Schizosaccharomyces pombe: one gene and its partners. The protein of the gene in region 1 purifies or fractionates together with the protein of each later gene. This does not show direct contact. Each region holds a gene or a part of one and is shown on either strand. Other genes may lie near its edges.

The links.
Region 2: the proteins of usp101 (region 1) and smd1 purify together in Schizosaccharomyces pombe (co-purification; one study listed by BioGRID). This does not show direct contact.
Region 3: the proteins of usp101 (region 1) and prp40 purify together in Schizosaccharomyces pombe (co-purification; one study listed by BioGRID). This does not show direct contact.
Region 4: the proteins of usp101 (region 1) and prp39 purify together in Schizosaccharomyces pombe (co-purification; one study listed by BioGRID). This does not show direct contact.

What each region holds. Positions count from the first base shown.
Region 1 is NC_003424.3:2,456,240-2,463,968, reverse strand, and holds usp101 (U1 snRNP-associated protein Usp101), read left to right. Parts: upstream 1-1,786; 5' UTR 1,787-1,834; coding exon 1,835-2,620; 3' UTR 2,621-2,818; downstream 2,819-7,729. Other genes in the region: mRNA-decapping complex catalytic subunit Dcp2, read left to right, coding at 1-1,243; pth2 (aminoacyl-tRNA hydrolase), read left to right, coding at 3,012-3,629; trp2 (tryptophan synthase), read left to right, coding at 4,218-6,311. UniProt on the Schizosaccharomyces pombe protein: Involved in nuclear mRNA splicing. Essential for growth.
Region 2 is NC_003424.3:4,517,615-4,525,353, reverse strand, and holds smd1 (Sm snRNP core protein Smd1), read left to right. Parts: upstream 1-4,339; 5' UTR 4,340-4,363; coding exon 4,364-4,377; exon of another isoform or gene 4,378-4,420; coding exon 4,421-4,470; exon of another isoform or gene 4,471-4,526; coding exon 4,527-4,816; 3' UTR 4,817-5,167; downstream 5,168-7,739. Other genes in the region: SPOM_SPAC27D7.09C (But2 family protein ), read left to right, coding at 815-1,966; methyltransferase Mtl16, read left to right, coding at 2,404-2,477, 2,524-2,599, 2,678-2,688, 2,735-2,889, 2,938-3,314, 3,362-3,451, 3,508-3,882; etf1 (electron transfer flavoprotein alpha subunit), read right to left, coding at 5,283-6,308; anaphase-promoting complex subunit Apc14, read left to right, coding at 7,058-7,381; omt2 (4-alpha-hydroxytetrahydrobiopterin dehydratase), read right to left, coding at 7,522-7,739. UniProt on the Schizosaccharomyces pombe protein: Plays a role in pre-mRNA splicing as a core component of the spliceosomal U1, U2, U4 and U5 small nuclear ribonucleoproteins (snRNPs), the building blocks of the spliceosome.
Region 3 is NC_003424.3:5,373,345-5,382,447, forward strand, and holds prp40 (U1 snRNP-associated protein Prp40), read left to right. Parts: upstream 1-2,222; 5' UTR 2,223-2,267; coding exon 2,268-4,355; 3' UTR 4,356-4,418; downstream 4,419-9,103. Other genes in the region: protein new13, read right to left, coding at 68-292; GTPase Fet5, read right to left, coding at 773-937, 983-1,648; CHD family chromatin remodeller Hrp3, read left to right, coding at 5,083-5,274, 5,332-9,103.
Region 4 is NC_003423.3:3,424,221-3,432,678, forward strand, and holds prp39 (U1 snRNP-associated protein Prp39), read left to right. Parts: upstream 1-5,548; 5' UTR 5,549-5,580; coding exon 5,581-5,672; exon of another isoform or gene 5,673-5,719; coding exon 5,720-5,906; exon of another isoform or gene 5,907-5,956; coding exon 5,957-6,060; exon of another isoform or gene 6,061-6,105; coding exon 6,106-6,273; exon of another isoform or gene 6,274-6,304; intron 6,305-6,360; coding exon 6,361-6,956; intron 6,957-6,993; coding exon 6,994-7,281; intron 7,282-7,350; coding exon 7,351-7,754; 3' UTR 7,755-7,958; downstream 7,959-8,458. Other genes in the region: U1 snRNP-associated protein Usp102, read right to left, coding at 1-11; plasma membrane glucose/fructose:proton symporter Ght2, read left to right, coding at 3,352-4,947; autophagy-associated protein Atg5, read right to left, coding at 7,982-8,374, 8,446-8,458. UniProt on the Schizosaccharomyces pombe protein: Function prior to stable branch point recognition by the U1 snRNP particle to facilitate or stabilize the U1 snRNP/5'-splice site interaction. Has a direct role in the assembly or function of a catalytically active spliceosome.

The DNA of each region.
Region 1 (7,729 bases):
CAGCAATTCTCGTTTATCGCATGATAATAACAGTTTCGATCCTTTTGCTTACCTTGGATTGGATCCAAAAAATCCATCTGCTTCTTTTCCAAGAGTTGTTTCTCAAAACAACATGTTAACTAATAAACCTGTGTTGAATAATCACTTTCAGCAGAGTATGTATTCAAATTTACTTAAAGACCAAAATTCTGTTCAGCATTTATTTGCCGCTAGCGACATGCCTTCTCCAATGGAATTGCCCTCGCCAAGTACTGTTTATCATCAAGTTTTTTATCCTCCCACTTCGACTTCCGTTAGTTCCTATGGTTTAGGCAAAACTCCGCAACCAGCATACGGATCTTCTTCTCCCTATGTAAATGGTCATCAGACTCAACAAATTTCTTCTCTTCCTCCTTTTCAATCTCAGACTCAGTTTTTAGCTCGAAATTCCGATAACTCAGGTCAATCATATAATTCGGAAGGAGACTCAAATTCAAAAAGGTTATTAAGTATGCTCTCTCAGCAGGATACGACACCCTCATCTTCTACGTTAAGCAAAGAGGCAAATGTTCAATTAGCGAATCTTTTTTTGACGCCTAATTCATTAGAGACAAAGAAATTTTCTGACAATAGTCAAGGAGAGGAAATATCAGATAATTTGCATGGTGAAAGTTGTAATAATCCTAACGCCAATTCTGTACACTCCGCACAATTACTTCAAGCTCTCTTACATCCATCCGCAACCGAAACAAAAGAGGAAACACCGAAAAAGACATCTGATTCGTTAAGTTTACTTACACTTCTTAAATCTGGATTGCCTACTCCTGCAAACGATTTGCAAAATAAATCACAGAATAACGAACGCAAAGCTTCCAGTCAGGTAAAGGAGTTGGAGGTCAAAAACTACAGCAAAAGCACTGATTTGTTAAAGAAGACACTTCGTATTCCCAGAAATGATGAGCCACTAGAAGCCGCTAATCAGTTTGATTTACTAAAAGTATCTCCGCAACAAAAGTCTGAGGTTCCTCCTAAACGAAACGAATTATCGCAATCAAAATTGAAAAATAGAAAGAAGAAGGAGAATTCGGAAACCAACAAAAACCATGTTGATATGAGTCCTGGTTTCGTTAAGATTTTAAAACGTTCGCCTTTGGCAGATCAAAAAAAGGAAGATACCCAGGAATCCGATTTCAAAGGGTCTGATGATCATTTTCTGTCATATTTACAATCTGTCGTGTCTTCTAACTCCAATGGTCTTCATTAATTTGTTATTCTAATTGGCATTGCATTAGAAACTAATGAACGACTGTGTAATACACATATGGTATTCTCTTCTAAAGTTATTCCTTTAATGTTTATTTTTCGTTTTACATTCAAATTGTTAATGAATATCAAGACTACTGACTTTAAATGAGACTTAGATGTTAATGTTGAACACTGAGTTAATCTAGTGGCTCTTTTCATTTTTTTCTATCACTTTTTGTTGAGAATAACGGTCTACTCAATGTTCTGTTGTTGTCGTTTTAATCATGCATGAATTCAACGTTGAAATAAGGATTTCCCTAACTTTTATTAGCTGGTGAGGCTTTTCGTCCTTTAAAATTATGAGGTTTCCTTTTGATGCAGCCCATGCGTGTACTAGGTTTATTCATAGGGTAAATACATATTTGCTTCCCTTTTATGTCAAATAAATATGACTATATAATTTGCTTACATATTTTAATAATAAGCGAAAAAATTGTACTGTACGCCCCCACATAGCACTTATTATACAGGCAATATCGCTTTACTGGGATATACCCTACACAGCATTGCACCCACACACTTCTAAATAAAAAAAAACAATTCATATAGAATGGCTGAAAAATTACCGGCTCCTCTACTTGCATTGTTTGCTCCACGTCCCCCATTGAGGTATCTGCCTCCTATGGATGTGCCTCCTGAGAAACGTTCAACACCTCGCGTTTCAGGCATAGCAAAATATCTGAAATATGCGCAGTCTCACGATCAACAATATCACCCGACTGAAAGCTTGGAAGAAAAGCGTTTGCGTCTTAGAGACGAGAAACAAAAACAGCAACGAGAAAGATTACGGTCCATGATTAAGGTATGGGATCCTGATCACGATCGCCATGTCATTGGAGATCCATATAAAACTATGTTTCTTTCTCGGTTAAGCTATGATACCAAGGAAAGCGATATTGAACGAGAATTTACTCGATATGGGCCTATCGAGCGCATACGAGTTGTTCGTAATAAAGTTACAGGAAAATCAATGGGATATGCATTTGTTGTGTTTGAAAGGGAACGAGATTTAAAAGTTGCTTACAAAGCATCAGCTGGTTTGATGCTAAATGGAAGGCGGATAGTGGTCGATGTCGAAAGAGGTAGAACTGTAAAAGGATGGCTACCGCGTAAGTTAGGTGGTGGACTTGGCGGGCGACATTATACAAAAGAAAGGCCGCGACGGGAACGGGGATCCCGATTTCGTGGCGACTCTGGATTTCGTGGTGGCTATCGAGGAGGATTTCGAAAATCTTCTGGAGGAGGGTCAAGATTTGGTCGTGGTCCTACTCGCTCCTCTCACTCTTCAGACTATGGAGGAAGAGATAGTTCCCCTAAGCGTCGTCGCTACAATTGATGTTAGAAAGTCTCACTTCAATGTTAACGCTAAACATAATTTTTTGTATACTCTTGATTACTCATTCTTTCTTCGAGTTATCATGTTAAAATGGAGAAGCGCATAGAAGATTGGAGACGCCTAAATTTAAATAAGTACCATGAGTTGGCTTCTGGTCAGTCAAACTTTTCAAACACATATATGAGATATCCTTCTTCGTTCTTTTAATGAAATTTAATATTAATTTCTCTGAATGCATCATTATTAATTTTGTGAAACAAATTAATAGTTTTGAGAGGAGTATGTTGCGCTTCACTACATCAATTTAATGATGTTGCCGGTATATATTATGTTTCTTAGCTCTTAAGTTTCGCACACATAATTATTTTGACATTATAATTTCATAGTAGTTATGAAAGTACCTTTCGTAAATTTCATGATCTCCTCCTTTCCTGCAGCAGTACTTGTCGGCGCTGTAGTGGGGTTTATGATCGGACGCAAATACAGTGTAGCAGATGCATCAAGAGGTTATAGTTCCAAAAATGCCAACAAAGCATCTAACCCAGAAAAAGAAAGTCCTGTTTCTGTTAGCAATGATGAAGACAGCGAGTCCGAAACTGAACTTTTAGATATGCTGAAAGGAAACAGCAGTTTGGCTGCGCTTGCATTGGCGGAAGGACAAACTAAAATGGTATTGGTCGTTAGGACGGATTTAGGCATGACCAAAGGAAAAATAGCAGCTCAATGTGCGCATGCAGCCTTAGCCTGCTACAAAATCGCATCTGCGGTGGACCCCGATTTGGTACGTATATGGGAAAATGCTGGACAGGCTAAAATTACTCTTCAAGCTCAAACCGAAGAGACGTTGGAATTACTGCAAGCCCAAGCAATGTCTCTAGGGCTATGTGCCAGGGTTATACACGATGCTGGTCGCACCCAGATTGCATCTGGTTCTGCTACAGTCTTGGGCATTGGTCCTGGGCCTGTCAGCGTAATCAATGAGGTTACAGGATCTTTAAAATTATTCTGAGAAATCTAAAAAATGTACCAAAAGGTGATATTTAATGCAACAAAATATGACAAACTTTTTTGATGGATTGCTATGTAACGCCAATACTCTTATTTTTCGACAGGCGAATTGTCTGTGCAATCAGCTTCCGTTCTGTAAAAACTGTATATATTTCTAATAACAATGAAAGTCAGCAACCCCAATTCTCATTTACTTACATTTGATTAATCTAGACATTGATGTCTCAGGTTGATTCCGTTCATTCATAACAAAATTTAGTATCAACTAGGCATATACTTTTATATTAGTAGTAAACAGCTTACATTCAAGTGAAGTTAATGGTGAAGTCGAAATTTAACTTTTTAGTTTAACATCCATCCACCTGAAGGTAATTTGCCCATGAACTTACGAAATTTGGTTCAATCTGCACCACAATTGCAGGCCTTAACGATTTTATAATGTTTTGAAACTTAATTTAGTTATCTATAAAATTATTTGACTTATCAATATGGTCATCTTCGTTTGAAATCTTAACGATCTATTCTGTCGGTCCCTCCAATCTCTGTTCCACCGCCAATATTTTTTTGACTATCGCAAAACTCATGAAAAATGACAGAGCAGATTAAAAAAACGTTTCTCAAAGCAAAAGAAGAAAACAAAAATGTTTTAGTGACATTTGTCACTTGCGGTTTTCCTAATGTTGATGAAACTATCAAAATTATGCAAGGTTTGCAAAATGGAGGAGCAGGAATAATTGAGCTTGGTATTCCTTTTTCTGATGCCGTCGCTGATGGTCCTACAATTTGCAAGGGAAACGAAATTGCTTTGAAGAATAATATTACTTTAGAAAAAGTATTTGAAACTGTAAAGCTCGCTCGTGATGCAGGTGTAACTATCCCTATAATTTTGATGGGTTACTACAATCCTATTTTCAGTTATGGAGATGCCAAAACTATTCAAAAGGCAAAGGAGGTTGGCGCTAATGGTTTCATCATCGTTGACCTTCCTCCAGAGGAGGCTGTCGGCTTTAGAGAAGAATGTAAAAAGCAAGGTGTTAGTTTCGTTCCTCTTGTTGCTCCTTCTACTACGGACAGGCGTATGGAGCTCTTGGCCTCTGTGGCTGACTCCTTTATTTACGTTGTTTCTCGTATGGGTAGTACAGGATCATCTGCTACCGGAGTAATCAATACTGCTTTGCCTCAGCTCTGTCAGCGTGTTCGTAAATTTGCTGGAGATACCCCTCTAGCAGTTGGTTTTGGTGTTAACACCAGTGAACATTTCCACCAAGTTGGCAGCGTGTCAGATGGTGTTGTAGTTGGAAGCAAAATTATCGATTTGATTTTGAAGGCAGAGCCTGGCACTGCTGCTACCGTGGTTGAGGAATATTGTAAATATCTTACTAAAGAAGACCCATCCGCACCTGTACCTAAACAGTTTCAATCCGGTGGTTCTGTTGCTACTGCCCCCCCTGCTGCTGTGGTCGAACCTATCAACGAAATGTATCTTCCTCAAAAATATGGCATGTTTGGTGGTATGTATGTTCCAGAAGCATTAACCCAGTGCTTAGTTGAACTTGAAAGTGTATTTTATAAGGCTTTGCATGATGAAAAGTTTTGGGAAGAATTTCGTTCTTATTATGAGTATATGGGTCGTCCAAGTGCCCTCGATTATGCTAAGCGTTTAACTGAGTATTGTGGTGGTGCCCATATTTGGTTGAAGCGTGAAGACTTGAATCATGGTGGTTCACACAAAATTAACAACTGTATTGGGCAAATTCTTCTTGCCAAACGTTTAGGAAAAAACCGTATCATTGCTGAAACTGGTGCTGGTCAGCATGGAGTTGCTACTGCTATCTGTGCCGCTAAATTTGGTATGAAATGTACTATCTACATGGGTGCAGAAGATTGTCGTCGTCAAGCACTCAACGTTTTTCGCATCCGTCTTTTGGGAGCTGAAGTCGTTCCGGTTACTTCAGGTACACAGACCCTTCGTGATGCTGTTAACGAAGCTTTGAAGGCGTGGGTCGAACAAATAGACACCACTCATTATTTAATTGGATCTGCAATTGGCCCTCATCCATTCCCTACCATTGTTAAAACTTTCCAAAGTGTCATTGGCGAGGAAACGAAAGCGCAAATGCAAGAGAAGCGTAAAAAACTTCCTGATGCAGTTGTTGCTTGTGTTGGTGGTGGATCCAATTCGATTGGAATGTTTTCTCCCTTCAAAGCCGATAAAAGTGTAATGATGTTGGGTTGTGAAGCTGGTGGTGATGGTGTAGATACCCCCAAACATAGTGCTACATTGACTATGGGAAAAGTTGGTGTATTTCATGGAGTTCGAACATATGTTCTGCAACGCGAAGATGGACAAATTCAAGATACTCACTCTATATCTGCTGGATTGGATTATCCAGGTGTGGGACCCGAATTATCTGAACTTAAATATACCAATCGCGCAGAGTTTATCGCTGTCACTGATGCTCAATGTTTAGAAGGATTCCGCGCTCTATGTCATCTTGAAGGTATCATTCCCGCTTTGGAATCTTCTCATGCTGTGTATGGTGGAATGGAGCTTGCTAAAAAGTTACCTAAAGATAAGGATATTGTGATCACCATTTCAGGTCGTGGTGACAAGGATGTTCAAAGCGTAGCTGAACAACTTCCTATTTTAGGTCCTAAAATTGGATGGGACCTTCGCTTTTAAGCAATGTTCTACTCACGATTTTCTGATTTATATTAAGGCTCCGTAAACTTAAGCGGAGTTGCGATCTATAGATATACAAGCATCGCATGCGATTAAACTTTTTTATACCAAAACATATGTGTATTTCTTTTTATCTATAAATATCATTTCAATTTTGCTTCTACTATTTACTAGCCTTAAATAGCGTTGTAGTCATGTAATAACCTGTACATAATACTGTACTTATTTACCTAATAAAGGTTTTCTGTGGATTTAATTTCTTAGGCTAATTTTTCAAAGGCTTAAGAGAATTATGTGTATGCTGAAGAAGAACATTCAACAAAGCGGTTTTCTTTAGTCTATGATTTTGAGAATCATGTCCTATTTACACTACAATGCAAGTGCAAAAAATGTTTTAAAACAATTTATCAGCACGAGCAAGATGTCGTAGTATTTTCAATTTATATGGTTTTGGCTTTTTAGAGTCGCGACATAGTCTATTAACATAAGCTTTAATCTTTGGTATATTAGCAAATCTTCCAGATTGAAGTTAGCAGTTTATGGAGAGAAAATAAAATTCTTTCTGTATATTCGCCTAATAAGACCACTCAAGTCTTTAGCACTGAATAATAAAAAGTGTCACAAATCTTTGAACTATGGTAAAACTCCCAATTACAATTACTTAAGTTCGCACTCCTAAAACAGCATTACCCGTAGAATAAATTGAAAAAAAAGTATAAAATCAAACAAGTGGTACAGATCAAATTTTTAAAAATTTAGTAATGTTTCTATGTTTTTATATTACAATATTCAGATAGGTAGTATTCTCGCTTACAGTTTAGACAGTAAATGTAACATTAGTGTTTCTCCACAATTCCCCACATAGTTAATAGTAAAGTTGAGGACAAAATTATGATTTATCTATATATTCTATGAATTACATATGACCCTAGATGTACCCATTCGACAAAAGTATCCTTCAAATAATAGGTCTTAAAAACAAAGACTTGCTCATTAGAAGCAATCGATCGTTCATTCACTTTACTAAAGGATTTACCAATATGTATTGGGGGCGTCGTTTCTAAGGCAAGGTAGTACGTTAGAGTTCGTAATATAATTGTTCGGTTAGTTAAGTGAAGAGCGATATGTGAATTAAAACCACCACATCAACCATATAAAAACTACATTATTTATGAAACCATAAGCATTCTGTTTAATTCATTAAATTAGGACAGAAATTAATTAGGCTCTTGCAAGGATCAAATTGGAGTGAAATTGCATCTCTTTACGATATTTCAAGTTGTGTTTTATTGCATTAGATTTAGAGGAGCAATCAGCAACGATCTATTAGCAGTGAACGTTAACGAATATCTCAATTACATTCGGATCTTTAATTATTTGGTTTATTTATTTTTTTAATAACAAAAAAGGGAAAGAAA
Region 2 (7,739 bases), 2.1 Mb from region 1:
AATATAACACTGTTATTTAAACATACCGCATACCCCTACATCAAGTTGCAAGAAGCCATATAGGAACACATAACGCAGCTCAGTAAATTGACCGCAATATGGGATAACATAGAGTAGTGCAGTATTATCAATATTACCGCAATTTACCGTTAGTTCTCGATAAACTACCGGAAGTGGTTTCTTATAATGTTGTATGCAGGGATTTAGTGAATATTACGTAGAGTATTATTTTAAAAAGGTTTCAGCAACTGTACCAGAATAGCTAGGCTGAATACCAATTTGGGAAAATTCACTTGACTGGGTTTCTAATCATAAACATACGGTTAATTGTATCAATAGAAGTTATGATTAATATTTTTCCGTAAATACCCTTGGAATTGTATGACATATATTGATTTGCTAAGTAAAGCAATAAGTAGCGTACTGCAATTTTGCCGATATGAAAAACTGCACATGTTTATTACATAATTACTGCCATTCGGAAGCGCCGTGTAAAGCGGATTATTTGAACCGGGTTTTTTTCATAGAATATTCTTAAATTTTATCGAACTAAAATTCTAGAATAATGTTCATTATTATAAATATAAGCACGATGCTTGGCAAATAATTGTTGGTAACACTTAAAGAAATATCTGATACGAAAAAAGGAATTCTTACTTTGGTTGACAATAAGTGATTAATCTTCTTCAGTTTGATCAATCTTATTGCAATATCTAGAAATTCCTCCAATTTTTTAGTTATTATTAAAAGTTTCAATTAAAAAAAAAAACATTCATTTGCTTTGACTTTCTTGCATTTTTGTTTAACTTACGTTATGAAGCTTACTTCAATCCCCATTGCTTCCACATTGCTCTCTTTGCTCGCTGCCTCGGGCACATTAGCTTCACCGTTGCATAAGCGTGATGACCCTTTGAACAACAAGCAATTTGGCCTAATGTCTATTCATTCTGGCAACAGTTATGTCCACTTGCACCCTTTCTATGTAGGAGACTCTGGCGCTATTTACCTGGATCCTACTGATGGTACCAGTACTAGTGCTGTCTTTTCTATGAGTAACGGAAGACTGGTTGTCGGAAATCTTTACGCTTCGGTTGACAGCAATGGCACCACTATTTTCAAATCTGATGCTAATGCAGCTTCCACTAAGTTCAGTGCTGGTGATGCTACTAATGTTGGATACAATCTTCTATATAATGGAACCCAATCTGCGGTAGCTTGTCCTGCTAGTGATAATGATCAGGTCTACCAAGTATACTTCGGAGCCGGAAATGGTAACCCCAATTGTGCAGGTATTGCTATTGAGGCCTTCGTGTCTCCATCCTCTTCTTCTTCTTCTTCTAGTTCAGCTGCTACTTCAACTTCAACTCGCGTTTCATCGTCTGCTAAAGCAAGCACTTCTAGTGGGGCAATTGCTTACACCACCAAATGTGTTGTTGTTCCTGTTACAGCATCGGCTACTGCCACGGCAAAAGCTGCATCCGCAGCAGCTTCCTCAGCTGTTTACCCTCTTTTCCCACATGGAATTCGTTTGATCGATTCTGCTAACCCCAGTTCCAACTCCGGTAATGTTTACTCTCCAGTCGTCTTTCAGAAGCAAAACAATCATACCAACACGATTTTCACATTTGATGTTCCTCAAGTTTCCGGCAGTTGCGAACTCAACCTACATCTCGATACTAGCGGTTTCCCAATCACTGTTGAAGGCAGCAATGGTGTTGGTCAATTCATTCTTTTCAACCTCTCCTCCGTCGCCAACGATTCTACTGTTTACTCCAACCGTCCAAACCGCATTGCCGAAATTGGACGTTTCAACTGCTCTAGCTCTGGTTGCGATTATGCTACCAACGTTACATGCCCCAACTCATACACCGCGGTTTCTTATGAAATGATGGCTCTCACTGATGACTCTTATTTGAGTTTCTTCGAAGAAGCCGATCCTCTTGAGGGATTAACTTTACGAGTTTAAATTTAACTTATTGAGAAATCAAGAAGCATTATCTAGTTTAACTTCATTAGCATTTAAATTCATTACTTTTCTTTCCTTTATGAGTAATAATTTCCAGTAATCTTTGGGTAGACGCTATTGTTAAATGGAAAAATCTATTCAAGGGCCACCGATTATGTTGTACCATTTACCTAAGTAGACTCAGTGTATGCTGTATTTATTTTTGCTCACCTAATGTACCTTTAATATTTTTCTATATATTACCACTAATTATACGGCATTCGAAAGCGTTATTTGTACGAGCAAATTTGCGTTTTTTAACCAAGCAACCGCCGATAAAGGCGATATAGCAAAAAAAATTTACGTACTCAAAAATATGACTGATAAAACTGATATTATAAATTTCGATAGTTTAGCAAGGGATTATCCCGACTTGAGATCTTTGTAGGGCGTTCTCAATGCCAATTTATATACTAATTGAACGTAGCGTCAAAAATGGTCGCATTGATTTTTGGAACGAAGATGCTATTCGGTTGGTAAACTCACATATGTTAAACGATTGCTTACCTATAAATTAGTACGTTAGGAAAAGCAATTCTGGATCGGGATTATTCTCTTCGTGTTGAATTTCCTGAGAATCGTCTATGTCCAATGGTAAGAGATGTGTAGCATCACCAATGTTTCTTTTAAACAAACATTTCCCTTCTCTCATAAATGCTAATTCATTTAAAGGTTCCAAACCGGTATATTAACACATTGTTTATTCATCATTTATAACCAACTTTTCAGAGCCACTTATATAAGATATATTCATGACCTGTTGTCAAGTACATCTGGGCAAAAGGATAAAAAAAGAATCATTGGTTTGGATATTGGTACCGGCGCTAGTTGTATATACCCATTATTAGGCTGTCGTATGTACTCATATGATTTCGTTGGCACCGGTAAGCTTTGATTTTTCACAGGCTTTTACTAATTACTCAAAACTCTAGAAATTGACAAATTTTCTTTTGAAACAGCCAAGAGCAATATTCTTCAAAATAACATGGAATCCCAGATCAAAATTGTGCTTCGTTCTAAACAAGACTGCTTACTCCCTGATACCGAAGGGATGGAAGAATTTACCTTTGTGATGTGTAATCCCCCATTTTATGAACATGAGGAAGATTTCATAAATTTTAAGCAAAATCCACCATCGGGTGTTTGTACTGGAGTTTATCATGAAATGGTTACAGAGGGTGGTGAAGTCGGATTTGCCAATAAAATCTTAACTGAAAGTAAAAAAAGGAAAGGAATTCAATGGTATACCTGTATGTTTGGCAAAAAATCAAGTGTACCTGCTGTGGTTGATAAATTGCGTGAACAAAATGTAAGTCCTAACTAGCCTTTAAAATTTTTTTAACTTATATCTGTAAGATATCAAATTATGGAATTTACGAACTCGCACTTGGAAAGACTAAGCGCTGGATAATTTGCTGGTCATTTCAGGCTATGCGTCCACACAATGTATGCTGCTATCGAACGATATTTAAAATTCATGATACTAACAAAAGGATCCAAAGGAACTTATACGTCCTTCTTCAACTTCCCTTTCTAAATATTTCCCCCATAAGGTTCTTCAGAATTGGACTTTAGACCCAGAATTATGTGCTCAAATTGATGACATTCTACAGAAATTCTTAGATGATAACAAAATTCCGTGGTCTAAAAAAGGATCCGTTTTGGAAATATCAACAAAATCTATCACTTGGTCTCGTAAAGCTCGACGGATATCCAAAAGTCAAACTTCTGTTTCTAGTCTGGAAGGACAAATGAAATGTGAACTGAACGTAATAGATAATCAATTGCAGTGTAAATGGATTGAAGGATATGATTATAATGTTTATGAAAGTTTCTGTTCAGCTTTAGCGCGAGCTTTACGGGACAATAAAAAATAATTCAATTCGTGAAAATTCACTTGGTAATCTTCTTATATTGAATAGCCAAAGCTTTGAATTTTGTATTTGAATAAAATGTCTTAAATTGTATAAAATAAATGATTAAAACAAATGACATGCGATACATAATAATTTTATCTCTAAAATTTGATGCCTTAAAGCTCATTCGAGTATTGGGTTCGAAACCCATTTATTTAGACTAATGAGTGCTTTCACTTAATTATTAAAATTAGTATCAAGCTTTTTCAACAGTCGAATCTGTATTAAGAAGTCTTAGCTTCTCAACTTTATTCTCAGATACTGGAAAAATAAATGCACATGAAGATCAGCCTATTAATATCACAAAGCTATTTTGGACTAGTAAAACTTCAGAATCCATTATATCTTAACATAAAATTGATGATTTTATCTATTGTTGATGTGTTTTAGTCGAACATAATACTTGATTTTTGCAGTTGCCAGGAACACCAAAGCACACACCATGAAGTTGGTACGGTAAGTATGATAAAAAATCTATACATATTCCTAACGAGTTTAGCTTTTTAATGAAGCTGACGAATGAAACTGTCTCTATTGAGTTAAAAAATGGTACGTAAAGCCTTACTTTCGTATAATAAATGAACCAAACTTACCAAATCGCGTAGGCACAATTGTTCACGGAACGATTACTTCTGTTGATATGCAAATGAATACCCATTTAAAAGCTGTTAAAATGACTGTCAAAGGTAGAGAGCCAGTGCCTGTAGAAACTCTGTCAATTCGTGGAAATAACATACGCTACTACATCCTCCCAGACTCGTTACCACTTGATACCCTTTTAATTGATGATAGCACAAAGCCAAAACAAAAGAAGAAAGAGGTAGTACGAGGTCGTGGACGTGGACGTGGCCGTGGAACTAGAGGCAGAGGCCGCGGTGCTTCTCGTGGGTTTTAAATATTATGAAAATATTCTCTTTTCGCACCCTTATTTTTGTCAGAGAATTTAAAATTATTGGCAATATCAATCGGCCTTTGCATTTTATTTTCTTTTAATAGATTTGCTTTGTGATGACATTGAAGTATTGCTGAGAGTGTATGCGTATTCTATGTTTTCCATGTTTCTATCATTTATCTCTGGTTAAATATCTAGACCGCTAAAAAAATCCCTTTCTTTCTCATACGTTGAAATGTTTGATAATCAACCTACGATAGCTTTGCTGAGGTGGCTTCATAAATGTATGTATAAAACGACTTCAGAGTTGTTTCACTGGTATATAATTAAATATTACATCAAAAATTTCCTTAATTTATTACGAGTACCCAGTTAAATAAACGTGTATTTTATTAACTTCTAAAAAGATGTGAAATTTGAAATAAATGTGATATTATGAAAAATAAGGAATCATTCCTCAACATGATTTTCAAAGTTTTTCAGTAAGCTCCGGGACGATTTCAAATAAGTCACCTACAATTCCCACATCTGCTGTTTGAAAGATAGGAGCATTTTCATCGCGATTTATAGCAGCAATGACTTTGCTATCTTTGATTCCGGCAAGATGCTGAATAGCACCATCAATTCCAACAGCAATATAAAGCTTTGGGGCGATGATTTTTCCAGTTTGACCTATTTGTAAAGAATTATCAGCATAGCCAGAATCCACGGCAACACGTGTAGCACCAATTGCTGCACCCAATTTGTCAGCCAAAGGTGTAAGGATGCGTTCAAATGTCTCTTTGTCTTTCAAAGGTCGACCACCAGCAACAACTCTTTCGGCAGAAGACAAATCAGGCCTAGCATTCTTTATAATATTCTCACTAACCCATTCTTGTAGAGCAGCTGGTTTTGGATCAATACCTTCAACAACAGTGGCTGCTCCTTCACCACTTGAAGGAGCGGCGTCAAATGCAGATGCACGAACGGTGACGATTTTAATAGGATCCTTTGTAGACACAGTAACGTTTACGTTTCCCGCGTATGTCGGACGAACGAATGTGTCAGCAGAAACCACACCAATAATGTCACTAATCTGCATCACATCAAACATAGCAGCCAAACGAGGCATCACCCCTTTACCAACAGTTGAATGAGCAGAAAAAACATGACTAATTTCATTTTTCTTAACATTTTCAAAAAGAACATTGGCTATTTGATCGGGAATGTTATGCTCATATGACGGATTCTCAACGTAGATAACCTTTTTCAAATCGTTCACCGATTTTGCTACCTTTTGAGAAATTTGAGAAGAATCCTTACCGATTACAAATCCAAAAACATCCCCACCGGTACGCTTTGCTGCTTCTACTGCTGACAAGGATGCTGGAGACAAGTTCCCTCCCTGATGCTCAAGCAACGTCAAAACACTAAACCAATGCCTTCTTCCACAATTTATTTTAAAGTTAGAAGAAGACAAAGCCCTAGAAAATGTCCGGCTAGTAGTCCTTAGCATGTTAGAATACTTCGTTGTAGGTTTGAGGGTGAATGAGGATGTACGCTGACAATATGTATGTTCACATATTATACTAAGAAAAAACTTAAGTAATACAGTCTTACATTTCAAAGGTAAAATAACTAAAAATAAGTAATCGTGATATATTTAAGTGATTTATCTACCAGAAATGATTTTTCGTGAGTATGAAAACATCCTAATTTTCATATACCTTACATTTATTTTTTTTGATAACCAACTGCCAATATTTTGACAAATTCTTTCAATACAAAGTTTAAAGTCTATAGCGATTGCAATAACTAGGTGCATCATTAAAAATAATAATAATGAAAATTCTTTTCAAATAAAAAAAAATATGAGAAACTCAATGTATCCTTCTTAGCATTACAGTTATTGAATCGTTCATCAACGTTAAAGTTCACTAAGATATTAGGAGACAAAAGGTGACTTCACTATTTTATTTTAATAACACACTCCACATTCTTATACCACAAGCATTGCTTTCTAACGATGGCAAGGAGTTTTGTTCAACTACGCACACAAGATAGTAAATAAACAAGAAAATCGGTGAAATTTCCTAATCACTTGTCCAAACCTCTTCACTTACTGCTTAAATACAAAAGAGATTACAATTTTCATATTTAAACGGTTCTCTTTTAAAGAAGAACAAATCAATGATTGAAGTCATTGTCTCTTAGTACTCACGGGGGTTTTTTTTACTTTTGTATATTAAAACGTTTCGAGGTCATATGGATCCGTTTGCTGGTACTGGTCAGTCCAAAAGTTATCGAACTTTTGGAAACGTCTTTCAAAGACTCTCCATGTCTGGCAACCCAAAACCTCTCGCCAAGAAACCACTTCTACTCCCTGAAGCTTCAAAAGCCATTGAATTTTGGAATTATCGAGATGTTATAGGTGGTGAAGAGGCCGAGCAAGAAAGAAATGAAAGGGCAAGTAGAATTGCAATATCCAGAATTGCTTCCAGCAGAAGTTCTATTCCAGAATACAGGCAAGCTATTATGCAGCATCTGACAAAACATGTTCAACAACTTGACCAGTTGGCTGAATGGTGATTAATGAGTTTATGATATAAATTCTTATCCTTTCAAACACCACATCACTAAACACTAAATTAATTCAAAATATTAAGAATAATTTCTGGCAATCTGTGTCTCAAGATAGTTTTCCGCTACTACCCTCTTGGTTGCAGCTTTCAGTTATCCTTTGCAAGTGTATCAATAAATTCTGCCAGCTTTAAATCTTTTTCTGTAAGTCCCTTTGTATCGTGAGTTGTCAACGTAATATCCACTTTATTGTATACATTAGTCCATTCGGGATGATGATTTAGCTGTTGTGCACGCAATGCGACACAGCTCATAAATCCCCAAGCTTCAATGAAGTTTTTAAAACGAAAGCTTTTAAATAGTTTTG
Region 3 (9,103 bases), 2.9 Mb from region 1:
TTAGTTACTTCAATGATTCTCAATAATGTAAAATCTGGGTTTCATTTATTTTTGTCAGATTCATTACCTCAGCTGCAACTCGGGCTGCTTCTGTGGGGGATAAATGCTCTTTATTTGATGTATTACCGGTTTCCGCTAGTTTTCTGCCCGTACGCGGAGGTGAGCTAGCTTTCGTAATGGCTTTTGCTGGTTTTTGAACGTTCACTGCAGGCTTTGGTTTTACAGTTGGTTTTTCATTCACCACTTTTTTTTCCTTTGACTTGGAACTACATATTGATAGTACTTGTCCCATAATTGATTATTTGGCTTTGGCTGATGACTTTGCATGTCACTCACTTCATTTTACGTACGGAAATTCTCGGTAAACAATTTTAAAGAATTCTATGCCGAATTTTAGCAAAGCTTTTTGATTACATTGTTTGTACATGATTAGTTAATGAATAGCCATTTCTTATTTAAACCATTTTTCACATAGTGCTGTTGGTACTGTGTACTTTGTTGGAACCGGATTTAAAACCATTGTTGTACTCATCAATTGTATAATCAGTAAATGCATTCAAGTTCCTACAAAACATTTTATTTATATTTAAACAAAAAAATATCTAATTGTTTTCTTCAAACTACTATGCTAAAACTTTACAAATGAGATGTGTCAAATTACAAACTATTTATAAATAAAATTCGCAAACGTTGAAACTCTTCGACTTTCATTAACATCATAAGAATCTATGCACCGGTTCCAAAATTTTTACCCTTCTATACGTGTATCTCCCTATTCATCGTCTTCTAAATCATCTGCTTCAAACCGATCAGGATCTTTTGGTTCCTGATCTTCGTACCATTGGGTAGCATCGTCAATATAACTAAGTACTCTGCTTACGCTTTCCTCGTTTCCGCTCTCAAGAGGAAGGAAATTGACCATATTAAAGTCATCAATCTAGTCATTAGCAGAAGCTCGAGGAATTATGATTCTGTGACTTACCAGTTGAACAATGCACCGATTAAGTTCGTGAAACTTTGGGTTTGTTGTTTCGTTAATTTCACCTGTGAGCAAGAGTGGATCTGTATTGAGAAACCTTTTTAATTCCGCTTTTGTAATGTTATTGTTGTCTTTGAGTAAATCCATTTTGCTCAATAAGTTAATATGCGGGACTTCCATCATAACCATTGCGCTCATTGCGCTTAAAACACCCGCAAAGAACTTTGTACGGTCAACGAGAAATTGGCTTTCTAACAGGTAGACAGCACAAGGACGAAAGTTTAGGGTTACTTGAAGATGGCGAATTAATGCTGGTAAAATTGGTACGTGAGTATACAATTCAATTTGTCCAGGCATATCGAAAATTAAATAGTCTTCGTCGTAATCGCCAATTTCTTCATTTAACCAATCTAAGTTTTCCATCAAAAATTCGAAACAATAAATTAACCCACCATTAGGGCCGTAGTCCAGCTCTTCCATAACATCATCAATGGATATTAAGTCTCTAATATCAACAGTTGGTTCCCATTCGAAGTTTTCTGCAGCAGGATCTAAATTAACTAAATGGCAAGAACGTCCAACGCTTTTCATATAAGACATTAATGCTCCACAAAACGTACTTTTACCACTGCTGGCAACACCACAAACAAAAGCTGCCACCTTAACCATTTTTCTAAAAAGACTAACGTCTTTTGAAACGTCGTGTTCTTTTATCCTATGCCTTCTTACCTGTGCCCGTATGCACCCTTATAACTCGCCATGCGATGCCCTAAGTATTTTACTGACTTTTAACAACAAATACTTTAACTGTGAATAACACGCTCTGTTTAAATCTTTAAGTCTTGCAGAATTTACGTTAAACGTCACTAAAAACATTCATTTTTTTGAATACCCCCTAATATAAGTACGATGTCAATATAGCTTTTTCTACTTCTTGTATAAAATTAGTTTAATTTCTCTTGATACAGCTTAACTCACTCCATATTTCAACTCAGTCATAAGTTGTTTAGCAACGGCTATAGCATCGCTTGTAAATTAACTCACTTTGAAGTCTGTTATTCTCAAGACCTGTTTACAACAATATAGTAAATGTATTCTAAACTGACCACAGTCTAACGTATCTCTATTATCAATTAGATATTACGTAGTTGATAATACAGTGAAACAACGAGTCCCCCACATATAGACTCGACCACCACACCCGTTTGTAGTGAACAGTGAGTGTAACTCTACACGCTGGCTTAAACCACAACCCCAATTTTAAGGGGAGTTATTCATAAATGTGAAGATGTCTGCACCTCCATGGCAAACTTCAGAGTACGATGAAACTGAGGGATTCACGTCTAATCAGGAAGGGCCGTCAGCAGCTCCTTCCAAGACTGTGGCCTCTGACTGGCATGAAGTGAAGACAGAAGATTCTCGAGTTTATTACTACAACTCAGTAACGCGCAAAAGTGTTTGGGAAAAACCAGAGGAGTTAATGAATGACTTTGAAAAAAAGCTTTCGAAACTAGCTTGGAAAGAATATGCCACCGCTGATGGCAAAAAGTATTGGTATAATGTCAATACCCGTGAATCAGTGTGGGATATTCCTGATGAATATAAAGCTGCCCTTGTTGATGAACCGGAACAGCAAAAAAAGGCTTTGTCGTCTAAAATCAAAAGCAATGACAACAAGCCAGCTGTTCAAAGCATTCAACGGCATGGTCCGGATGTTGCTGCTCCTTCAAGTCAACCAGCTAAAGATCAAAGCCAACAAATTTCACAAGGCAGTCATAAACGAACTATAAACTTTGTTCAACAAAAGGATAAGCGCCAAAAACGTTCTAATGATTATCAGCACGAAAACTATGATACCTATGAAGCCGCAGAGCGCGCTTTCTTTAAATTTTTAGACTCTCATAATGTCAACCCAAGCTGGACTTGGGAGCAGACTGTCCGAGAGCTTTGTGATGCTAAGGGCTATTATGTCATGAAGGATCCTTGGCATCGGAAATGTGCTTTCGATGCGTACATCTTAAACTATTTGACCGATCAAAGTGATGCAGAAAAGAACCGAGTAACTAAGATTAGGAAGGAGTTTATTGAGATGCTAAAAAGTAGTGATAAAATTCATTCTTATACTTTGTGGCGTACTGTGAAGAATGAATTTTCTTCTCATCCTGCTTTTAACGCTACTTCTTCTGAAACTGAACAACAACAACTATTTTTTGAATATAAGCAAAAGCTTTTAGAGGATGAAAAGCAGTTGGAAAAGGATCGCAGAAAGGAAGCATTGGATGATTTTTGTTCGCTTTTGCGAAACATGAATTTCGAGCCTTACACCCGCTGGAGCGTTGCGCAAGCAAAATTTGATCAAGATCCAAGGTATACAAGGAATTCAAATATGAAATATCTTTCTAAATTAGATGCTCTTGTAGCATTTGAAGATCATGTTAAGCATTTGGAACGCGAATATATTCTTGACAAACAAAAGCAGAAGAAAGAAAAGCATCGTATAGAAAGGAAAAATCGTGATGCCTTTCGTGCGCTATTACAAGACTTACGCGTGCAAAAGAAGATTACATTACGCACGAAGTGGAAAGAATTATATCCCATAATCAAGGATGATCCAAGATATCTTAACTTACTAGGGCAATCTGGCTCTACACCATTAGATTTATTTTGGGATACGATCGTTGATTTGGAGAATATGTATCGGGAAAAGCGTAATTTGGTTTTGGACTGTCTTGAAGTATTGCAAATATCTGTGGATGACACATCTAATATTCCTGAAATTATAGCAAGGTTATCAGAAAAGCTTAAAGATCGAGAGGAAAGTGAGGCAGTAACTGAAGACCTTATTGAAGAAGTTGTTAATCGATTACGTGATAAAGCGATCCACAAAAAAGCTGAGGAAAAGCGTGCTGATGAACGACGCATTCGAAGGAAAATTGATAATCTCAGAAGTGCCATTAAATACCTTAAACCTCCAATTTCTGCCGATGCTTCTTACGATGAAATTAGACCTTTAATTTCTATTCTACCGGAATTTGCTGCGCTCCATTCCGAGGAACACAGGATGGCTGCTTTTGACAAATATATAAGACGGCTTCGAGAAAAACGGGAATTGGAAAAGCAATACCAAAACAGAAGAGGTTATTATGATGTCGGTAAAGATGAAAGTTATTTAGCGAATAGTGCCCGACCACATAGCGGATACGAAGATGGAAGGTTGGAATATTCTGCTGACTTAGCGTCAAAAAGTAATAGGAATGAAATTAATACGATGCAGGATGTACAGGAAAATTCAATCTCTCATGTTACCGCTACACAACCGGCTGTTAAAAATATTGTTGATGATGCAGAATCTAGTGAAGAAGGTGAAATTCGTTAGTATTCAAGTTAGAAATTTAATTGTTAGTGCGTTTAATACACATGCATTTTAATGTTCTCTCAACTCGCTTTTTGTATTCATACAGTTTGATTACCTTTAGTAGCGGATACAGCCTGTAGCTATTTGAACCTCTACCACCAGTACCTCAAAAATTGTTTTTGTAACAAAACTAGCAAGTTGCTATTAAAATAGCAAAATACTGCTATAAGCGTTCTATTTAATAACGCGTAAGTAAATTTTTATTAAATTTTGTTGCAGCCACAGTTCGTTTTCCGAATTTGACGCTGAATATGTGAATGATCCACGTGTCGCATTTTTTTGTTAAACCTACATTGTTCAATGCACTGAATGTAGCTCTCTTTTTTTAAAAACCTTCTTTCTTATTATGTTTTGCTTGTTTCTCTTGTGATACAATCTTTTTGGTGGCATTCGACCTTTTATTCAAAATTGCTCTTTCTTCGAAAATGAACGATATAGTGCTTCCTATCGAAAAGATACGGGAGTTAATATGTGTTCTTTATTTAAATCTGTTCGGATCTCGTCTAAATATAGTCGTTAGTCAAGAGTTATAAATATTCACATTTAAAGTGGCATCTGGCAGTTCTCAGTTAACTAGAAGTTGGATGGAAGCCTATTACATATTTCACAATTATTCAGCATTTCAATTTCGGAAAAGTTTTGCAATAAGAAATTTGCGAAATTGGTTCTAACTTCTGTTTTAGTTGATATGAGTACAAGTGCTATAGCACTTGCTTTGTCATCATCTAAGGCTATTGAGCAGCTGGATCACGTTCAAACTGAAACCCCTAATCTTAAGCAGGAAATGTCCGAATCCCCTTCGAATAGCGGCGTAGCCTCCAAGCGCAAATTACAATCTACTGAATGGCTCGACCCAGAGCTTTACGGTCTTCGACGTTCTGTATGTCTCACATTATTTTATTCATTATGAAACTTACTTAGATGCTAATCATTATAGGGTCGCACTCGTAGTAATCCAGGAAGATATGTAGACACTGATGATCAAGAAGATGTGTTCCCATCCAAGCATCGTAAAGGTACTAGAAATGGTTCATCTTTTTCTCGTCATCGAACAATTCGCGATTTAGACGATGAAGCTGAATCTGTCACCTCTGAGGAAAGTGAGTCAGATGATAGTTCTTATGGCGGAACTCCCAAAAAGCGATCTCGGCAAAAAAAATCAAACACCTACGTTCAAGATGAAATTCGATTTTCTTCTAGAAATAGTAAAGGTGTTAACTATAACGAAGACGCGTATTTTGAATCGTTTGAAGAAGAAGAGGAAGAAGAGATGTATGAGTACGCAACTGAAGTTTCTGAAGAACCTGAAGATACACGAGCTATAGATGTCGTTTTAGATCATAGACTTATTGAAGGACACGATGGCTCTACACCTTCTGAAGATTATGAGTTTTTAATTAAATGGGTTAATTTTTCTCATCTTCATTGTACATGGGAACCTTACAATAACATTTCTATGATCAGAGGATCTAAAAAGGTCGACAATCACATTAAGCAAGTCATACTTCTTGATCGAGAAATTCGAGAAGATCCGACCACTACGCGTGAAGACATTGAAGCAATGGATATTGAAAAAGAGAGAAAGCGTGAAAATTACGAGGAATATAAGCAGGTAGACAGAATTGTTGCCAAACACTTAAACTCCGATGGCTCAGTTGAATACTTAGTGAAATGGAAGCAGCTGTTATATGATTTTTGCACATGGGAAGCTTCCTCAATTATTGAGCCTATTGCTGCCACGGAAATTCAGGCATTTCAAGAAAGAGAAGAAAGTGCTCTTAGTCCATCAAGAGGTACAAACTATGGTAATTCGCGTCCTAAGTATCGAAAACTGGAGCAACAGCCTTCGTATATAACCGGTGGTGAGCTTCGTGACTTTCAGCTTACAGGCGTCAACTGGATGGCATATCTTTGGCATAAAAATGAAAATGGGATTTTGGCCGATGAAATGGGTCTCGGTAAGACAGTCCAAACTGTGGCTTTTCTTTCATATCTTGCACATTCTTTAAGACAGCATGGACCTTTTCTTGTAGTTGTTCCACTTTCTACAGTTCCTGCCTGGCAAGAGACATTAGCTCTTTGGGCTTCTGATATGAATTGTATAAGTTACCTTGGAAATACCACCTCAAGGCAAGTAATAAGGGATTACGAATTTTATGTTGATGGAACTCAGAAAATAAAGTTCAACTTGCTTCTAACTACTTATGAGTATGTACTCAAAGATCGCTCGGTGCTTAGTAATATAAAATGGCAATATATGGCAATTGACGAAGCTCATCGATTAAAAAACAGTGAATCGTCACTTTATGAAGCACTTTCTCAGTTCAAGAACTCAAATCGATTACTTATAACTGGAACACCATTACAAAATAATATTCGTGAGCTTGCGGCTTTGGTAGACTTCCTGATGCCAGGAAAGTTTGAGATTCGTGAGGAAATTAATTTAGAAGCACCAGATGAGGAGCAGGAAGCTTATATTAGAAGTTTACAGGAGCATTTACAACCCTACATTTTACGAAGATTAAAGAAAGACGTTGAGAAATCTCTTCCTTCTAAGTCTGAACGTATCCTTCGTGTTGAGCTTTCTGACTTACAAATGTACTGGTACAAAAATATTTTAACTCGCAATTACCGTGTCCTTACTCAAAGCATAAGTTCGGGAAGTCAAATATCTTTACTAAACATAGTTGTGGAGTTGAAAAAGGCAAGTAATCATCCTTACTTATTTGACGGAGTAGAAGAGTCATGGATGCAAAAAATAAACTCTCAAGGAAGACGAGATGAAGTCTTAAAAGGTTTAATTATGAACAGCGGGAAAATGGTGTTACTTGACAAACTTCTATCACGTCTTCGTCGAGACGGCCACCGCGTTTTAATTTTTAGTCAAATGGTTCGTATGCTTGACATTCTTGGTGATTATCTTTCTTTGAGGGGATATCCACATCAGAGACTGGATGGCACTGTCCCTGCTGCTGTACGAAGAACTTCAATAGATCATTTTAATGCACCAAACAGCCCAGATTTTGTGTTTTTATTATCCACACGAGCTGGAGGATTAGGTATTAATTTAATGACTGCTGATACAGTTATTATTTTTGATTCCGATTGGAACCCTCAAGCTGATTTACAAGCTATGGCACGTGCGCATCGCATTGGTCAGAAAAATCATGTTATGGTATACAGGCTTCTTTCCAAAGATACGATTGAAGAAGATGTCTTGGAACGTGCACGTCGTAAAATGATTCTTGAATATGCAATTATTTCATTAGGTGTTACAGACAAGCAAAAGAATTCCAAAAATGATAAATTTTCTGCTGAAGAGCTTAGCGCTATTTTGAAATTTGGAGCTTCTAATATGTTTAAAGCAGAGAATAATCAAAAGAAGCTTGAGGATATGAATTTAGATGAAATTTTGGAACATGCCGAAGATCATGATACTTCCAATGATGTGGGTGGAGCCAGCATGGGTGGTGAAGAGTTTTTGAAACAGTTCGAAGTTACAGACTATAAGGCAGATGTATCTTGGGATGATATTATACCCCTAACTGAACGTGAGAAGTTTGAAGAGGAAGACCGCTTAAGAGAAGAGGAAGAAGCGCTTAAGCAAGAAATTGAGCTTAGTAGTAGACGAGGTAATCGTCCTTATCCTAGCTCTGCGGTGGAATCCCCATCCTACTCTGGAACTTCTGAAAGGAAGAGCAAAAAGCAAATGCTTAAAGATGAGGTTTTACTGGAAAAGGAAATTCGGTTGCTTTATCGTGCTATGATTAGATATGGAAGCCTTGAGCATCGCTACAATGACATTGTTAAATATGCTGATCTTACTACGCAAGATGCTCACGTAATAAAAAAGATTGCAGCTGACTTAGTAACCGCTTCACGCAAGGCTGTATCAGCAGCCGAGAAGGACTTATCTAATGATCAGTCTAATAATAAGTCATCTCGTAAAGCGCTGCTCATTACATTTAAAGGTGTAAAAAATATAAATGCTGAAACATTGGTACAAAGGCTAAATGATCTTGATATTCTTTATGATGCTATGCCAACGTCAGGATATTCTAACTTCCAAATTCCAATGCACGTTAGATCTGTTCACGGCTGGTCCTGTCAGTGGGGACCCCGAGAAGATTCCATGTTGCTTTCTGGAATTTGTAAGCATGGATTTGGAGCTTGGTTAGAAATTCGAGATGATCCAGAACTCAAAATGAAAGACAAGATCTTTTTAGAAGACACAAAACAAACAGACAACTCTGTCCCCAAAGATAAAGAAAATAAAGAGAAAAAGGTACCTTCAGCTGTGCATTTGGTTCGTCGAGGTGAATACCTACTTAGTGCTTTACGTGAGCATCACCAAAATTTTGGCATAAAATCAAGCCCCGCTATTAGTACTAATGGAAAAACTCAACCTAAGAAGCAGACGGCTAATCGCAGACAAAGTGGCAAGCCTAACGTTAAATCTGCGCAAAAAATAGAGAGTGCAACTAGGACACCATCGCCTGCAATTTCAGAATCTCGTAAGAAACCTTCTTCTAAAGACACGAAGATTGAAACACCTAGTAGGGAACAGTCTCGCAGCCAGACAGCTTCACCCGTCAAATCTGAAAAAGACGATGGTAATGTAAGTCTAAATGCTGAACAAAAGGCACGCTGCAAAGAACTGATGTATCCAGTCCGTAAGCATATGAAAAGACTTCGGAAAGATTCTAGTG
Region 4 (8,458 bases), on another chromosome or scaffold:
TGAGGATCCATTGGATGTTAAATATAAAAAGATATTCACAGTGAATTTCGGCACTAATGTTATGATGAATCAAAAAACACGAGTATTTAAAAATTGGAAGACAATCCAGCTTATGGCATTAAATTCCAGCTAATTACCAAAAGAAGTAGTCTTTCAGGTACCACCTTGTTTTAGTAAATATGGCTCGTAATGGTTGACTTTACATTCAATTTCAAAATGTAAATTATAGCCAGCATTAATATTTCGTTGGATGTATTCTAAAAGCGCTTGTTTTCAAAATACAGTACTCTAATGTACCAAATATCAAATGGAGAGAAACACTCCTTATCCAAGTTAAAGATCGCGAAAGGAAGAACTTCAATAAATGGACGTAGTTTTAACACGATAACGCATCGCTATGTTTGACCATGTTGTTGCTCATTAATCTTGTTTTCAGTTGCAGAAAAAGTTACGAATGCTTGAATAGTGAATACGATAATCTGTACAATAATTCAGTTTGCCTTGTATTTTGTTACAATATGGTACAAATCCTTATATAATTTACGAGATACCTAGGTAAAAGAACCGAGTTTATGCGTTAATGATTTACCGTGCAGACAAATTTTGAACGCGCAAACAAAAGAATAAAAATTTTATAAACAACAATTGATTTAGTTACTGAAAGAGAGCGTTTACCCAAAGTAAAGAAAATGATATAAATATTGTTATTTGTAAACTGTGGATAATATGGGAATCGATGGTGTACTGGACGCGCAAATAACGAATTTTACGAGCCGTCCTATTAAGAAATACAACAGCCGAGAACAGAAGAGCAGTCACAAACCATTTTTTATTCCACAATATTAGATTGTATTAACACAAATAAAATTTTTTTTTCAAGGCATTCTCTACAATATCGAAGACATTCAACGTATAAAGGTTAGTCTTGATTCAAATACTTACCCTTGTAATTTCAATTTAATGTTAGACAAAGTTATTGCCCCAACGTCTCTGGAAAACGCGGATGCAAATTGTGGAGGAGGCAGAACTGGAAAAAGTATCAGCCAATCATCAACATGTCTGAAAAAAAATTCCAAGATATTTCTAAGCCTAGCTCGTAAAAACGGGTGACAAGACATGTATGGCGCTATCGAAGTACGAAAATAGAAAATTGCCAGACGATATTAGAGTAAAAGACACAAAAAGAATTTCATTTATTCACCCTATTATAATTTTTCAGCTTTCATCAATGTATGCGTACTAACTAAAAAAATTATCGGTGGTCATTTAAAAACAACAAAACCATCCAGCATTCATCACATGTCTTTCATCCAATCAAATGTAGTTATAGCTATTATCGTCCAATAGATTGCAGAGGCGGGATCAAAATCCCCTTAGGCAAAATTGGTAGGCTTCTCCACAGTTTTTCTCAGACTTGGGAAGAATGGAGCGGGGTAGGGAAATATAGCAAGACCCTGTCTTACAATGATTGGGCAAAAGCTTCACATATATGGGAGCAATATATGTACAATAGGCGCTTTTCACGGACATAGCAAACCTTGTTAGTAATGAGTTGGGCGTATTTAAGGAGGTCCCAAGGCCTCAAAAGTCGTTTACCAAGTTCATAACTTTTTAGGGACTACGTTAGTTAGCGATGAATTAGTGATGATTTAGTGTGCAGCGTTTACATTTTCTTAACACAGACAATTGCAGTACGGGTTACAGCTCCATATTTCTTCTATAGTCCGAATGAAGTATGGGCGTACACGTAATCAAGGGATAGAAGTATCCTTTTACACCGAACTGTTCAAGAGCGAATATATCGCTTGAGAATTCTGTTTTTTTTTGAAAAGGTTCATTGTCCATCCATATTTACCTTCTTGTTAGGGAGTCTCGCTAGGATGGTTGGTGTCGCGGTCGATGTATGGTCTCCAGGTTGGGGGCCCCTAGCTATCCTGACTTGGATAGGACAGAGATAAGATACACGTTGCGTGACGTTTTCTTAAAAAAAAAGAGCACGGCTATGCTCTATTCATGTTACTAGTTAATACTAGAGGAACTCCGCATTTAGGTTAGTTCCGTTATGGACTCGAATATGTGGAGCTCGAGAATGCAAGCAATCGAAATTTGAAGGATTATGGTTCCGTAACGTTAATTGTTCTATTGCCAGCTTTGAGATAGTCATGCAGCGATGAGAGTATGCTGTGTTTTAAACTTTGATATTTGCTGGTTCCAATACGTATGGCCACCATTGGTATTATTTTTTCGCCTTGCGAATTAATTTTACTGCAGACACTTTACTTCTTTTGCCTCAGGAAACGTTTTTTTGTGTTCAATCTTGATTTAACGATATGAGGAGTATAGAAATATACTTGGTTTTTTCGGTTACTTTGCTAAAATTATTGACGTTGGAATACACTCTGTATTTGCTAGCAGTCCGAACTTGCAGCCTCGGTCGCCAAAGTATTTAAATTTACTTTACTTTTGAGAATTATTCCTACATCACATTTATTGAAAGTCGTTTTTTCATCCTGTTATCGGCTTTCTACCTCACTAATAGTGTCTTTCCCCAGTATATGCATCAGTTTCATTACGTACAGTGTATCATTTTACGATTGAATTTTTTTTTTTGCTATGGAGAATTAATGATATCGTGACATTTTTACCTCGTTCTTGACTTTCAACGAGCTGTTGATCCTCGTCATACACGTCGTTTAAATTCTATTCCACATCTTATTCGTTCTTATTTGTGTGTGACTGCGTTTTTTTAAGTCGGCGTCCAATGATACAAGAGTTTGCTAACTACCTTGTTGCCCTTGTAATATTGTGACGTATAACCAAAAACTCTCCGGCGATCCTGTCTAAAATTTCACTGAAAGCAAAGGACTTTTGATACTTTTGTCGGGGTTTCTCTTCCCGAATTTAGTATAAAAGCTGCCCTCTTGACTGTTAAAATCTTTACCTAGACCTATTCTTGCTTTTTAAGTGCAAGAGCAACTTTAGTCTTCATTTACCTAAAAATCCTTTCTTTTTTTGGTTAAACAAGAACGAAATCCAAAGAAAGCTCAATAAAAGCATTGTGCTTTCCTTGGTTACCCTTTCTTTATACCGATTTTGAAAATACAAGCTCTCTGTGCTTGAAAATCATAATCTAGATTAATTTTTCTTTTAATTTTTATTTATTGAGAATCTCTTGTCAAGATCTCTAACTCATAAACTGTCTGTTCTTTGTTCTATCATTTCTGCTTAACGTGTTGCAACTGAAATAGACGTGTGGTTAATTTTATTCAATCTTTTATTTTCCACTTACATCCTTTCTATAGAATTTTTGTTTTTTTTCATCTTTATTAGATTCCTTTATACTTTATCAAAATGGGGTTCAAGCGTGGAAAGAATTTTACCCTTGTTATGTTAATTTTCGTCTCCATGGCCGGTTGGATGTTTGGTGCTGATACCGGTTCCATTGGTGGTGTTACTAGTATGCGCGATTTTCGTGAGCGTTATGCTGATAGATATGACCCGATCACCGACCAGTATTCTTTGTCTTCGGCTCGTCAAGGTCTTTTAACTGGTATGGTTAACGTTGGTTCCTTGTTTGGATGTATCATTTCTTCTCCCATTGCCGATCGTTTTGGTAAGAGACTTTCTATCATTGGTTTTTGTGCTGTTTATATCATTGGTATCATCGTTCAAGTTACCGCTGTTCCCTCTTGGGTACAAATCATGGTTGCCAAGATTTGGACTGGTATTGGTATTGGCGCTCTTTCTGTCTTGGCTCCTGGATATCAATCAGAGACTGCTCCTCCCAGTATTCGTGGTACCGTCGTCGTCACTTATCAGTTGTTTGTCACTGGTGGAATTTTCATTGCCGCTTGTATCAATATGGGTACTCACAAACTTCATAAAACTGCCCAGTGGCGTGTTTCAATTGGTATTAATCTCCTTTGGGGTATCATTACCATGATTGGAATTCTCTTCCTTCCCGAATCCCCTCGTTATCTTATTCAAGTTGGCAAGGATGAAGAGGCTGTTAGAGTTCTTTCTGAAAGTGCTGAGCTTTTTCCTGATAGTGAGGAAGTTCAAAATGAATATCACCGTCTCAAATCATCTATTGACGAAGAATTTGCTGGTGGCCCTTGCAGCTGGGCAAGCATTTTCGGTAAAGACATTCGTTATCGTACTTTCCTTGGTATGTTTGTTATGTCGCTTCAACAATTGACCGGTAACAACTATTTCTTCTACTATGGTTTCTCAGTTATGCAAGGAGCTGGTATTAATTCTCCTTACCTATCTGCTATGATTCTTGATGCAGTTAATTTTGGCTGCACTTTTGGTGGTATGTATGTATTGGAAAGGTTTGGTCGTCGTAACCCTCTTATCATTGGTGGTATTTGGCAGTCAATTTGCTTTTTCATTTATTCAGCTGTCGGTTCTCGTGCTTTATATCATAAGAACGGTACTTCAAATACCCGTGCTGGTGCCGTTATGATTGTCATGGCATGTCTTTTCATTTTTGGATTTGCTCAAACTTGGGCTCCTGCCGCATACGTTATTGTTGGTGAGTCATACCCTGTTCGTTACCGCTCTAAGTGTGCTGCCGTCGCTACTGCTAGCAACTGGCTCTGGAATTTCCTAATTTCATTCTTTACTCCATTCATTCAAGCTTCTATTGGATTCAAGTACGGTTACGTTTTTGCTTCTTGTAATTTGACCGGTGCAATTGTTATTTTCTTGTTTGCTAAAGAGACTAAAGGTCTTACTTTGGAAGAAATTAATGAGTTGTATATGTCTGTCATCAAGCCCTGGGAATCTGGTAACTTTAAGCTTAACTATTCTGAGCAAAAGAAAGTTGAGAAAGAGAAATCCAGAAAGGGCGGTGCCCGTGGTGAGTCTGTTGAGTATGTTGAGCGTGCTTCAAACACTGACTCATCTCCACAATACTCTTCCCATGAGGAAGATTACGCATAAGGCAATAGCTAAACGTCTTTGTATGATTTATGAATTGTGTGAGGCAGCTAGATCCAAAATTTGTTGTTCCGATTCGTTGGGTCTATATATTATATTATTAGCTAAGTTTGGATTGATAATTTGTTAAGTTACTGTGCATCTTAAATCTAGTTTTTTGAGATTATGTTCGTTTGCATATAATATTAGATACATGTGCATTCTTTGTCCATTTTTGTGTTTTTGTGTTCATTATAGGAAATAATATTTTTTATACCTAATTAAGTTTTTGTTGATTCGTTGCTTAGTAGCTAAGTATTTCCAATGTTAATAAATATTTGTAAATGTTGAAGTGAGTCATGTTTATACAGTGATTTGTAGTTGAATTTTCATTATATTAGTAAGTCTGTTACAGAACAATAATCATTTTACGCTTGTGTATCGCCCAAATGTACTTTATTAGTTATTAATTTTTAAATCAGCGTTGCGGGCAGTGTCGTATTATTCTGTATGATACGATTCGGCAGACTAATGTACTGCACTAAACTAATATTGTAATTTATTTAAGTTCAACCGAATACGGCTGAAGAAAGTATATTTCGTTGCTGTTCGATATTTACATTTTATCCTTACGCGCTTTTATACTTGCGAACCAAAATGGATTATGGGGATATTTACATTGCAGAGGAAACAGAATGGGATAAATATAATCGTCAAATAAATAAAAATCCAGATGATTTTGATGCTTGGTAGGATGTTGTCAGATACAACTTATTTAGTGCTAATTATGATTTAGGGAAGGACTGGTTCGTGCTTCAGAACATCTTGAGGGAGGTGTTGGCAGAAACTCTTCGAAACAGGCTATCAATACATTAAGAAGTGTGTACGATCGATTCTTGGGAAAATATCCGCTATTGTTTGGTTATTGGAAGAAGTATGCAGATTTTGAGTTTTTTGTGGCAGGTGCTGAAGCATCAGAGCATGTATGTACACAAGTATTATGCGATTTGTTATTTTTCTAATAAAAAAATAGATCTACGAACGAGGAATTGCTGGTATTCCACACTCTGTTGATTTGTGGACAAACTATTGCGCTTTTAAAATGGAAACCAATGGTGATGCAAATGAAGTTCGGGAGTAAGAATAAACCCTTATTTCACGTGACAAATACTAACTCATCAGGCTATTCATGCAAGGTGCGAACATGGTTGGATTGGATTTTCTGTCACATCCATTTTGGGATAAATATCTGGAATTTGAGGAGCGTCAGGAGCGTCCAGATAATGTATTTCAATTATTAGAGCGTCTTATACACATTCCCCTACATCAATACGCTCGTTATTTTGAAAGGTACGGACAAATTACCATTAACATTCGTAATTGTCTCAATTAATTTTGTGATCAAATTCAATTTAAGCTCAAAGGCTAACGTCGTAGATTCGTTCAAGTTTCACAGAGTCAACCAATACAGCAATTATTACCTCCTGACGTATTGGCATCTATCAGAGCTGATGTAACTCGTGAACCCGCTAAAGTTGTTTCTGCTGGATCAAAACAAATTACCGTTGAACGCGGTGAACTCGAAATTGAAAGAGAGATGAGAGCTCGCATATATAATATCCATTTGCAAATTTTTCAAAAAGTTCAACTCGAAACTGCTAAACGATGGACGTTCGAATCGGAAATTAAACGTCCTTACTTTCATGTTAAAGAACTCGATGAAGCACAACTAGTTAATTGGAGAAAATATTTGGACTTTGAAGAAGTGGAGGGAGATTTTCAGAGAATATGTCATTTGTATGAGAGATGTTTAATTACTTGTGCACTTTATGATGAATTTTGGTTCAGATATGCAAGGTGGATGTCAGCCCAACCTGACCATCTTAACGATGTTTCTATAATTTATGAACGTGCATCTTGCATTTTTGCTTCAATATCGAGACCAGGAATCCGAGTGCAATATGCTCTTTTTGAGGAATCCCAAGGCAACATAGCTTCAGCTAAAGCAATCTACCAGTCCATTTTAACTCAACGTAAGTAATTTTTACAAAATTTAACATTAACGTATAGTTCCTGGAAATCTCGAAGCAGTGTTAGGATGGGTTGGTTTAGAAAGAAGAAATGCCCCCAATTACGATTTAACCAACGCACATGCAGTTTTGCGGAGTATAATAAATGAAGGAAAATGTAATACAGGCATTACTGAAGTATTAATTACGGAGGACATCAAACTAGTTTGGAAAATTGAAGGGGACATTGAACTTGCAAGGAATATGTTTTTACAAAATGCACCAGCTTTATTGGATTGCCGTCATTTTTGGATATCTTTTCTTCGGTTTGAGTTAGAGCAGCCTTTAAGTAAGTAGTTGTTTTGTGTTTTACACTCAATTATACATCAATGTACATTGTGGCTTACATATTTTCCAGACAGCAAAAACTATACTGAACATCACGCCCGTGTCTCTAATGTAATGGAAATGATTAGAAATAAAACAAGGTTACCGCCAAGGACGATAATGGATCTTACAAAGCTATACATGGAATATCTTTGCCACCAATCCAACGATCCTTCAGTTTTACAGGAATACTTATTAATTGATCGAGATGTCTTTGGGCCTTTTAGTGTACGGGAATCCCACTGGAAAAAGCTCGATGAAGGACAAGATTTGAAACAGGTTAGTACTAGGCTTTTAAGCACTAACGGTCACCCTGGTATTTCTGTGAATGAAGCAAAAATCAAGTCTGGTGAATCTCCATATGAGAAATATTACCGTCTTCAGGGTGTTGTTGAGACAGTAACATCTGGTGTTGCTGCCAATGGGTCTTCATAATCTACGACTTCTCATTAAAAAGAAATTTTCATAGTCAAATTATCAATGCTATATCTCGTTGCATTTCCTACTTCTTAAAAAGCAGTTTGTTTAGGGAAAGGAGTACTCAAACGCACCTTAATGTCATTGTAAAGTCATTGCTAGACTGCATGGGTATACAAATCTTAAAATTATTTGTACATGAATAACAAATTATCTAAAGGAGCTAGAGAAGAGACGTAAATGTTTTAAACTTTCATTAAAACAATATGTAAAAACCCATCAATGTAACAGAAATCTCGATTGAGCTCGTCTAAAACGCTCTGAAGAAAAATTGTAATACCATGAATAACTGGTTTAACTATTAAGAATTTATCACATGATGGAAACAAGTCGGGAAGGCGTTTATTGAGAAACTCACCAAGAGAACTACCAAGAGGTGCAGAAGTTTGTATAATAGGAGCATTGGCCCCTAAATAAATTTTTAAAGGAATGAATTTGGATTTTGAAAAAAGTATTTTTATAGCAATGGGACGGAAATCATAGTAATCATGATTGAGTATTGCATTCCAGTAGGTGTCTGTTTCTGCCTTTGAAAGAGCGATTATTCCAGACGAACTTCCGTTACGAACGTAATCAGACTGTAAAAAGTTAATATGGATTTACCCCTTTTGTAAATAAATCATATATGTTTTTGTGATAGAGAACGCACCTCTTTTAAGCAG